Danio rerio: one gene and its partner. The protein of the gene in region 2 interacts with the protein of the main gene of each other region in a pairwise test. Links are inferred from orthologs where the notes say so. Each region holds a gene or a part of one and is shown on either strand. Other genes may lie near its edges. The genes, in order: clp1 and tsen54.

Region 1 (4,401 bases), on a different chromosome or scaffold from region 2:
TGTATGTTTAAACCCAGCAGAATATACTATATATTTAACATGTCATAAGCGTACAGTTATTCAAACATTTGCTTAATAAAAATGTCCTAAGACAAGAATGGGTTTTGTTTTGGTTTTATGTCAAACTACTGTAAGTTTAGTTATCTATATCATAATATTGAAAGTCAGAGTTATTTTAATGACAAAAATCAATTAAAATGTCTCTTACTCAAGTACTTCAAGCATGCAAAAGTCAAATTAAAGTATGTAAAATACATTTTCCAATAACAAAACTTTGTCTTGTGAAAATGACCTGTGGGTGGTGAGGAAAAAAGTTAATGTCTAGTTATATATATATAAAAGAAGTTGAACAAGTTGTCATGATATTTAGTCATAATGCACTTTCTATACATTTATATTAGACTTTTTTCTACATCTATAATTGGTAAATTGCTCCCAGGTCAATCTTGACTTTGTCTAATAAAGGTGAGGTGTATCAGAAGGGAGATTGTCCTATGTTCACATTTCTACTTTTGTTTTTTTCTTTGTCCTGTGTAGTGCTGTATTTTCCTTTCTGTAACACAATGACATGATCTGGCAACAAATTACTGTACAAACAGCAAATAAATAAATAAATTAGCCACAGTTTACATCAGAACACCCCTCCAGAGTACACTGTTATACTGACAACATGACTAGGCCCACACAGAATCTACGTGCGCAGAATTCTGTTTATTTGCTTGTGTAAATGTATGTAAATCCATATTTACTCAGTTTTTTAATTATTTACAATAATATTATTGACTAATTTGAAAATTTTCGTATGAATGATTTACAATACAGTTTGTAAAGTTATATTTTCTGTCTTTTAGTAGAGATATTATATAAAAGACTTGCTTTGTTTACCAAATAAAGAGGATCTAATTGGACTTGCATTGTAAGCATTAAATAAAAGTTTAAAAGGTATTACTTTTTATTTAATAAAATAAGGTTTTAGTTATGATACTTCCAAAATAATAAATAAATCCGCAGATCTTTGACACAATTCTGTGCAGAAAAAATGTCCAGACTCCCTTCAGCTCTTCGGTTTCAGATTGCTCCCTTGTTTCAGAGATTTACTGTGGGTTATGGATAAAATACAGCATTTCAGTGATTTTTTTGCTGTAATAACTAGTCAGATGTCATCATAACCACACTTTAATGATGTACTAAAAAATTATATCTATGCAACCTAAAGAAGAAAACAGAAGAAGAGAAGATCTTGCCCGTTCATTGGTCAGCAGTAACATGACGACGTCTACAAGCGACACGACGTCATCACGATGGCGTGGTTTGACAGTCGCACCGCGCTGATGTGAGGAAAGTGCTGATTATTTGTAAATACAAAGGAACTTTAAATAGTGCTTAGTGTCACGGTACATTAGTTGATAGTACACGCTAAGTCATATGACCGTCGGTTTATTCAGCGGGCTAACGTTAATCGTAAGAAGCTAACAATTCAGTAATTTATCGGCTTGAAATAAAACAGTATTTCCCAGGATATATCGCCGATCGGACGACTTCACACAGGTACAATACAATAATTGCTGCTTTGTCTTTGTTTAAAGCACATACATTGCGCTAGCAAGTGAATATGGTCAAAAAAAACATGTCTGTGTCTAACGTTACATCACATTATATTTAGCTAAAATGCTAAAATGGCTACTTCAATATTTTAATAGACTTGAGTGAAAATAAAATGTCTAAATATGGTAATATATGGTATATAATGTACAACCGCCTTTTCAGAGTTCATAAGTTAGTAATTCTGTCCTATAACGTTTTTTTTTTAAAAAAAATATTTATAAAACAATATTGATCCTTTTTTGGAGTAAAGAAAAGTGTTTTGTGTTTTAATGTGTCATCAAACGTTTCGTCTTCAAAATGTCTGACAATATTGTCGCTATATATACATATACACATACACTACCTGACAAAAAGTTATGTTGCCAAAAGTTTTAGGAACAGCACATAATAATTTGACTTCTAGTTGATCATTTGGTATCAGAAGTGGCTTATATGAAGGGCAAAGGCCTTTAAATTACGCTTATTTTACCAAAATAAAATATGATCATGCCTTGATTTATAACTATTTCATTAATGCAGTAAGGTTTGACTTTGCTTAGACATGAGTCTTATCACTGAACAGAAATAATGTCCAGTATAGAATATAAAGTCCTGCTGCAGTGGAGACAGAATGAATATTGTGTCTGACTCCATCATGAGCTTGGAGGACTGCATCCATACATCTCTGCAATGACTCAAATCAAGTTCCTGCAGTACTCCCAGAGTTCATCAAGATCCTTTGCATTTATCTTCAATGCCTCTTGCTCTATCTTACCTCAGACATGCTCAATAATGTTCATGTCTGGTGATCGGGCTGGCCAATCCAGGAGCACCTTGACCATCTTTGCTTTCAGAAGCTTTGATGTGGAGGCTGAAGTATGAGGAGCGCTATCCTGCTGGAGAATTGTCCCTCTCCTGTGGTTTGTAATGTAATGGGCAGCACAAATGTCTTGATACCTCAGGCTGCTGATGTTCCCATCCACTCTGCAGATCTCTCGCACGCCCCCATACTGAATGTAACCCCAAACCATGATTTCTCCTTCACCAAACTTGATTGATTTCTATGAGAACCTTAGGTTCATGTGGGCTCCAGTAGGTCTTCAGCAGTATTTGTGATGATTAAGATGCAGTTCAACAAATAATTCATTGGAATAATCTACCTTCTGCCACTTTTCCAAATGATCAACTAGAATATATATATATATAACCAGGCAATAAAAAATTGTAATGAAGTCAATTTTTTCAAATATTAACATGGAAAATATAAAATTCTTTTTATTAATCTGTTTATAGACTGCTTTCATTGTGACTCCAGTCATACTAAAACTTCTATAGCTATTAAAATAGCCTAGTTACTATTCCCCCACCCTGTATATAAGATTGTTACACTGAATAGCATTTTAGTGGTTGTCCTAAATGAAGTTTCACAAACTAATTTCGAGAGGAGCATGTGATATGATTGACTGCAGCTGGCCACTCATCTACACTCATTAGCTAGCCAATCAGATTGATCCAAACTCACTATAAGTAACCTAGCTAACTAGCTAAGAACTACTCCCTTATCTTCGTTTCCCGAAGAAACCCCCCATCCACCCCTTCTCCTCCTTTCCTCTTTTGCCTAGGGGAGCTCTCGAGAACTCCTGATCTCGTACTCCCCTCACATGCTCAATGGACCTGGCGGGAGCCCTGGGCTCAACTATCTCCGAGCTCAGGGTTCTCTCCCGGGACAGCACGCCAAACCTGCTAACTTGCTAACAAGTTGTCGAACAGTATCTAAGTGTGAACTCTTGAAATAAATTGAATATATCAAATTGCAGTATTCATATGACAGAGAGGTGCAATAATTTGCATTTATTTTATGTGACAAGAATTTGTGTGTTGCATGCATTTGGTTAATTGTCCAAATTTGACCAATTGGATGGGGCTTTACACTTTATACCTGTGTCCCCAGTAGGTGCTGTTTTGATGTTGGCTAGACCGTCCCAAAGGGGAACTAAAAATACACTAATGGCAGGAGTCGAGACGATAGAAAATTCATTCATAGTGATTTAAAGTCAAAATTTTTACTCTATGACGTTGTTGTTCTTTGTTGAATAAATTAGATTTAATTAGATCAGAAAAATCTATTGCCTATTTATTTTTGTAAGTTTAAAAATCTATCTGGAGGTTTTATATCACAAGAAATATAATTATTGCAATACTTAAAAACAGTGCTTAGTATTGTGCAGCACTACTGTCTTCTATCATATGAAAAAATATATAAACAAGACACATCGTTCTATGCATGTTGGAATAAATATATAAATTCCATCTATTTTGATGCTTGAAAACCCTTTCCATCTTTTTATTTAATTTTTTATTAAGCAGAAATTTGAATAAAAGTAAGTACATGACGTGAAATTTATAGCATAATTTGCTGGTTTTAAACATACAGAATAATTCATAATGGATTGCAGTTATGTAAACAATCCTTTTCATCTCTGATAATTCTCCTTCACAGTCATGACGGCAGAAGCTGCAGAAAAGTCTGTGGAGGAGGGCCTGAGCTCGTCGGGCAGCGCTGGTTCTTCAGGCACCAGATTCGACCTGGATAAAGAGACAGAACTGCGCTTTGAGGTGGAAGCAGGAGAACGAGTCCAGCTGGAGCTGCTGTCTGGCTTAGCTGAGATATTCGGATCTGAGCTGAACCGCAATAAGAAATACACTTTCGGGCCTGGCTCTAAGATCGCTGTGTTTACCTGGCAGGGCTGCGGTGTGGCACTTTCAGGCAAAACAGAGGTGAGAGATAGCAAGTCTTGAACCTGACTTTTATTTCAG
Region 2 (4,345 bases):
TACGAAATGCCGTGAGATTGTGTTGGCGAGTTTATACTGCGGTCACGCCATGGCCATCTGCGGTTCCGAGAAGGACGGTCATGCTGTCTGTGCAGTGAGTTTACCGGACCAGGTCACCCGACCTCAAGTTCAGTCTGTTTTCACTTCAAAATGTCAACAAGAATATATTGACAATGCGATGCACGTTCTACATTGAACTGACATCAAAAATGTATACATGAATTCCAGCTCAACCTGAAAAAAGTAACGTTAGTGGTAAGTGTCAATGTTATGTTATCCCAATTTGAACCTTATTAATGGTAACTAGTCAGGGCCATAGCCAGTGAGGGGCTCGGGTGGTTGGAAAGACTCACCCCTCAATAATAAAGGTCCAGAATTTGTCCCATACATGAGCTCATTTGTCTTATTGTAAGTGCTATGCCATCATAAATAGTGAAATCAATCCATTGAAAAAGGCTTTAAGACCAAGCAGAATCCTCAGGTGTGACTTTATCTAATCAGTTTTGTCCAAAACAAAGCATTATTTTTCCTGAGTTCAACATCCAGCTGCGCAAGAAAACATACAATCAGATGTAAGCGACGTCATCTTCGAGTAACTTTTAAGATTAAGTTACTTTTACTTGAGTATAGATTTTGCAAACTCTACTCACCTCTGCTGACAACAACAAAAAAGTACAACTTATTGAATTTTGCTTTGTTTACGTCTTATAATTAGACACGGGATGATCACCGGTTTCTCAAAGAAAAAAAGTCAAGGTTTTAAAACCGCAAAACCGTTCCTAAGGTATGTGTAAAGGTTTTTTTAAGTGTTTTTAATGTGTTTTAAAGAAATCTGTGTTTTTTTTTTTCTAATAAAGATAGCAGAAGTCAATGATTTATTAATAATAATAAAAAAATAATATTAATACATATTATTTATAATACGCTTTTCTCAGACCCATAGTGTAAATGTGAATTGTAAATTGAAAAAATGTCAAATAAAATACTGTATAATGTGCTCAATGGGGACAAAAATGTTGTTTTTTTAACTGAGACATTTAAAAAAAACTTATTATAGAGCTGTAACCACAATACCTTCATACCATGATGCTTTTTATCCAAGGTTATGAGACTCACAAACGTATACCGGCCCATGCCTACTTACAATCACACCAAAAATTATTCAGATGTCATTTATTTATATGTACTGCAGAAGTGCATTAATAGTTAATACTTTTAATAGTAATGTAAATATTATCATGCTACGAGTTGTCTGAATTATTTTTAGTTGATTGTTGTATACCAGAAGATGCCCAAAGTTGGCCCATGGTGACCTTTAATTTGGCCCATCTTAGAAAAGAGGGAAAATGATGGGGATGGTTTAGAGCACGGGTCACCAAACTTGTTCCTGGAGGGCCGGTGTCCTGCAGATTATAGCTCTAACCCTAATCAAATCCACCTAAACAAGCTAATCAAGGTATTACTAGGTATACTAAAAACATCCAGGCAGGTGTGTTGAGGCAAGTTGGAGCTAAACCCTGCAGGGACGCAGGTCCTTCACAACCGAGATTGGTGACCCCTGGTTTAGAGATTGTCATTTCAAATTTTATGTAAACTTTAATGGTTTGTTTTATTGTTAGGCTACAAAAAACCTAACTGAAATTAAATGTTTTAATTGAAATGGTTTAAGTTAATGAGATTTAGCTTAAATATACATACTGTTAAGGTACACCGTGACCCCAACCATAAAAAATACCTGTTCAGTAAGATAAAAACAGTATTTATAATGAGAATTACTAATATTATTTATTAAATTACCCATTGTATTGTATTAATGTCTACTCCTACCCCAATCCTCACAGTAATGTAAAAACAGTGATTATACAGAGTAATATTCATATTATTTATTAAATTACTCATTAAATTGTATTTTATTAACATCCACCGTGACTCTACCCATAATAATACCCTCACAGTAATGTAAAAGCAGTAATTATAATGATAATTATTTACAATATTAATTTTGAACCCTAAACCCTGCAGGGACGCAGGTCCTTCACAACCGAGATGGCTGACCCCTGGTTTAGAGATTGTCATTTCAAATTTTATGTAAACTTTAACGGTTTGTTTTATTGTTAAGCTACAAAAAGCCTAACTGAAATTAAATATTTTAATTGAAATGGTTTAAGTTAATGAGATTTAGGTTAAATGTACATACTGTTACGCGACAGATAGAGGACAATGCAGAGAGCGAATCAAGGCAAAGGCAGATTCTTGACTAGAACTACACTGTTGTAAATGTGATCGTCTTATTGCAATAATTACAATTATACTGCATTAGTTAATACGATTCAAATTAATGCTTATATCTATTTATAAATATTATTAAATGAATTAGAAAATTACGCATGGCAACTTTAATGTAACATAGTTTGGGATATTTATTTTCAACGATATTTGGATTTTGGCCCTTCATAGGAAAAGTTTGGGCATCCATGTTGTTGTACACATATTTTAAAACCTATCAAAGGATATTTAATGTTTTTGTTTGATCAACATAAACTGAACGACACAAATTACGCAGAAACAAAACCGAGTTGATCTTCACAATAATATTCAGGATCACAAATAAAAGTCTGCTTCCACTTTGAGTCACGTGACGAGGATGTGATGATCCTTGAGTTTGGTGGACTCGCGGCGTGTTTCCCGTGCTATATGGCTAACAGAGGATTTATATGACTGCGCTACTACTAATAAATCGATCAAATCAACACACGAAGACCTACACGCTTGATCTAAATAAGTTAATTGTGTCAGTTACCTGAGCAGCTCGTGATAAACACTTTGTTTATTTCCAGCATCCGCTGAAGCGTCTGCGTCTGCCATGTTTACTGCCGCCCCCCGTCCGGTGTGCGTATCTTCCGGGTCCTAGTGCGCAAAGAGTCACTGTACACACTTGGTACACACTCCCAAAAATAAAAACGAAGAATATATATATATATATATATATATATATATATATATATATATATATATATATATATATATATATATATATATATATATTTATATATAATTTTTGTTTATTATATTTTCAAAATTTAATTAATAAACAATAATTTCCCAAGTTATCCTCCTTTTGTGCTCACTTCTTAACTGAAATTGACCCATTAAATGTTTGGTGGTTCAATCAATTGGAGGTTTCCAACCAAACCTCATTCTTCTTTCACCAAGTTAATTATCGCTTTTTATTACTATTAAATTAACTCTACTTCCTCTTTCTTTTATTGCTACTTATTTGTTTCATTATATATCGTTTTTGTTTGTTGTTTTGTTATCCTACGTACAACTCAGGTTATTATCCAACTTGTATTCCTATTCCTGTATTGATTCAAATATATATATATTTTTTATTTCTTTTAAGTAACTAAAATAATAATAACAAATAACATTAATTATAATAAAAATCCACTATACACAAATGCGACTGCGCGTCTTCACCACTAGAGGAGAGCAAAGGCCGAAAGTTAACAATAAACATTTCTATTATTTATGAAATTACTCATTAATTGTATAAATACCCTCACAGTAATGTTAAATCAGTAATTATAATGATAATTATTTATAATATTAATTTAAATATCCATTAAATTGTATTTTATTAACATTCACCATGACCCCAAACCATTAAATACCATCACAGTAATGTAAAATAGTACTTACAACCAGAGTTATTTATATTATTTAATAATTTACTAATTAAATGGTATTTTATTAAGGTACACTGTGACCCCAACCATAAAAAATACCTGTTCAGTAAGATAAATACAGTACTTATAACGAGGATTATTAATATTATTTATTAAATTACCCATTGAATTGTATTAATGTCCTACCCCAATCCTCACAGTAATGTAAAAACAGTAATTATACAGAGTATAATTCAAATTATTTATTAAATTACCCATTAAATTGTACTTTATTAACATCCACCGTGACTCTAACCATAATAATACCCTCACAGTAATGTAAAAACAGTAATTATAACCAGAATTTATGATATTTTTTATTAAATTACCCATTAAATTGTATTTTATTGATGTCTACTCCTACCCCAATCCTCACAGTAATGTAAAAACAGTGATTATAACCACAATTATTCAAATAATTTATTAAATTACCCATTAAATTGTACTTTATTAACATCCACCGTGACTCTAACCATAATAATACCCTCACAGTAATGTAAAAACAGTAATTATAACCAGAATTTATGATATTTTTTATTAAATTACCCATTAAATTGTATTTTATTGATGTCTACTCCTACCCCAATCCTCACAGTAATGTAAAAACAGTGATTATA

Evidence for each region.
Region 1: the proteins of tsen54 (region 2) and clp1 interact in binary tests that used the Homo sapiens proteins (3 or more experiments, as listed by UniProt). The link is inferred for Danio rerio from reciprocal best matches to the Homo sapiens genes TSEN54 and CLP1.

What each region holds. Positions count from the first base shown.
Region 1 is NC_133189.1:53,766,999-53,771,399, forward strand, and holds the start of clp1 (polyribonucleotide 5'-hydroxyl-kinase Clp1), read left to right. Parts: upstream 1-1,282; 5' UTR 1,283-1,548; intron 1,549-4,084; 5' UTR 4,085-4,086; coding exon 4,087-4,362; intron 4,363-4,401. UniProt on the Homo sapiens protein: Polynucleotide kinase that can phosphorylate the 5'-hydroxyl groups of double-stranded RNA (dsRNA), single-stranded RNA (ssRNA), double-stranded DNA (dsDNA) and double-stranded DNA:RNA hybrids. dsRNA is phosphorylated more efficiently than dsDNA, and the RNA component of a DNA:RNA hybrid is phosphorylated more efficiently than the DNA component.
Region 2 is NC_133178.1:65,630,712-65,635,056, reverse strand, and holds the start of tsen54 (tRNA-splicing endonuclease subunit Sen54), read right to left. Parts: upstream 2,894-4,345; 5' UTR 2,866-2,893; coding exon 2,801-2,865; intron 1-2,800.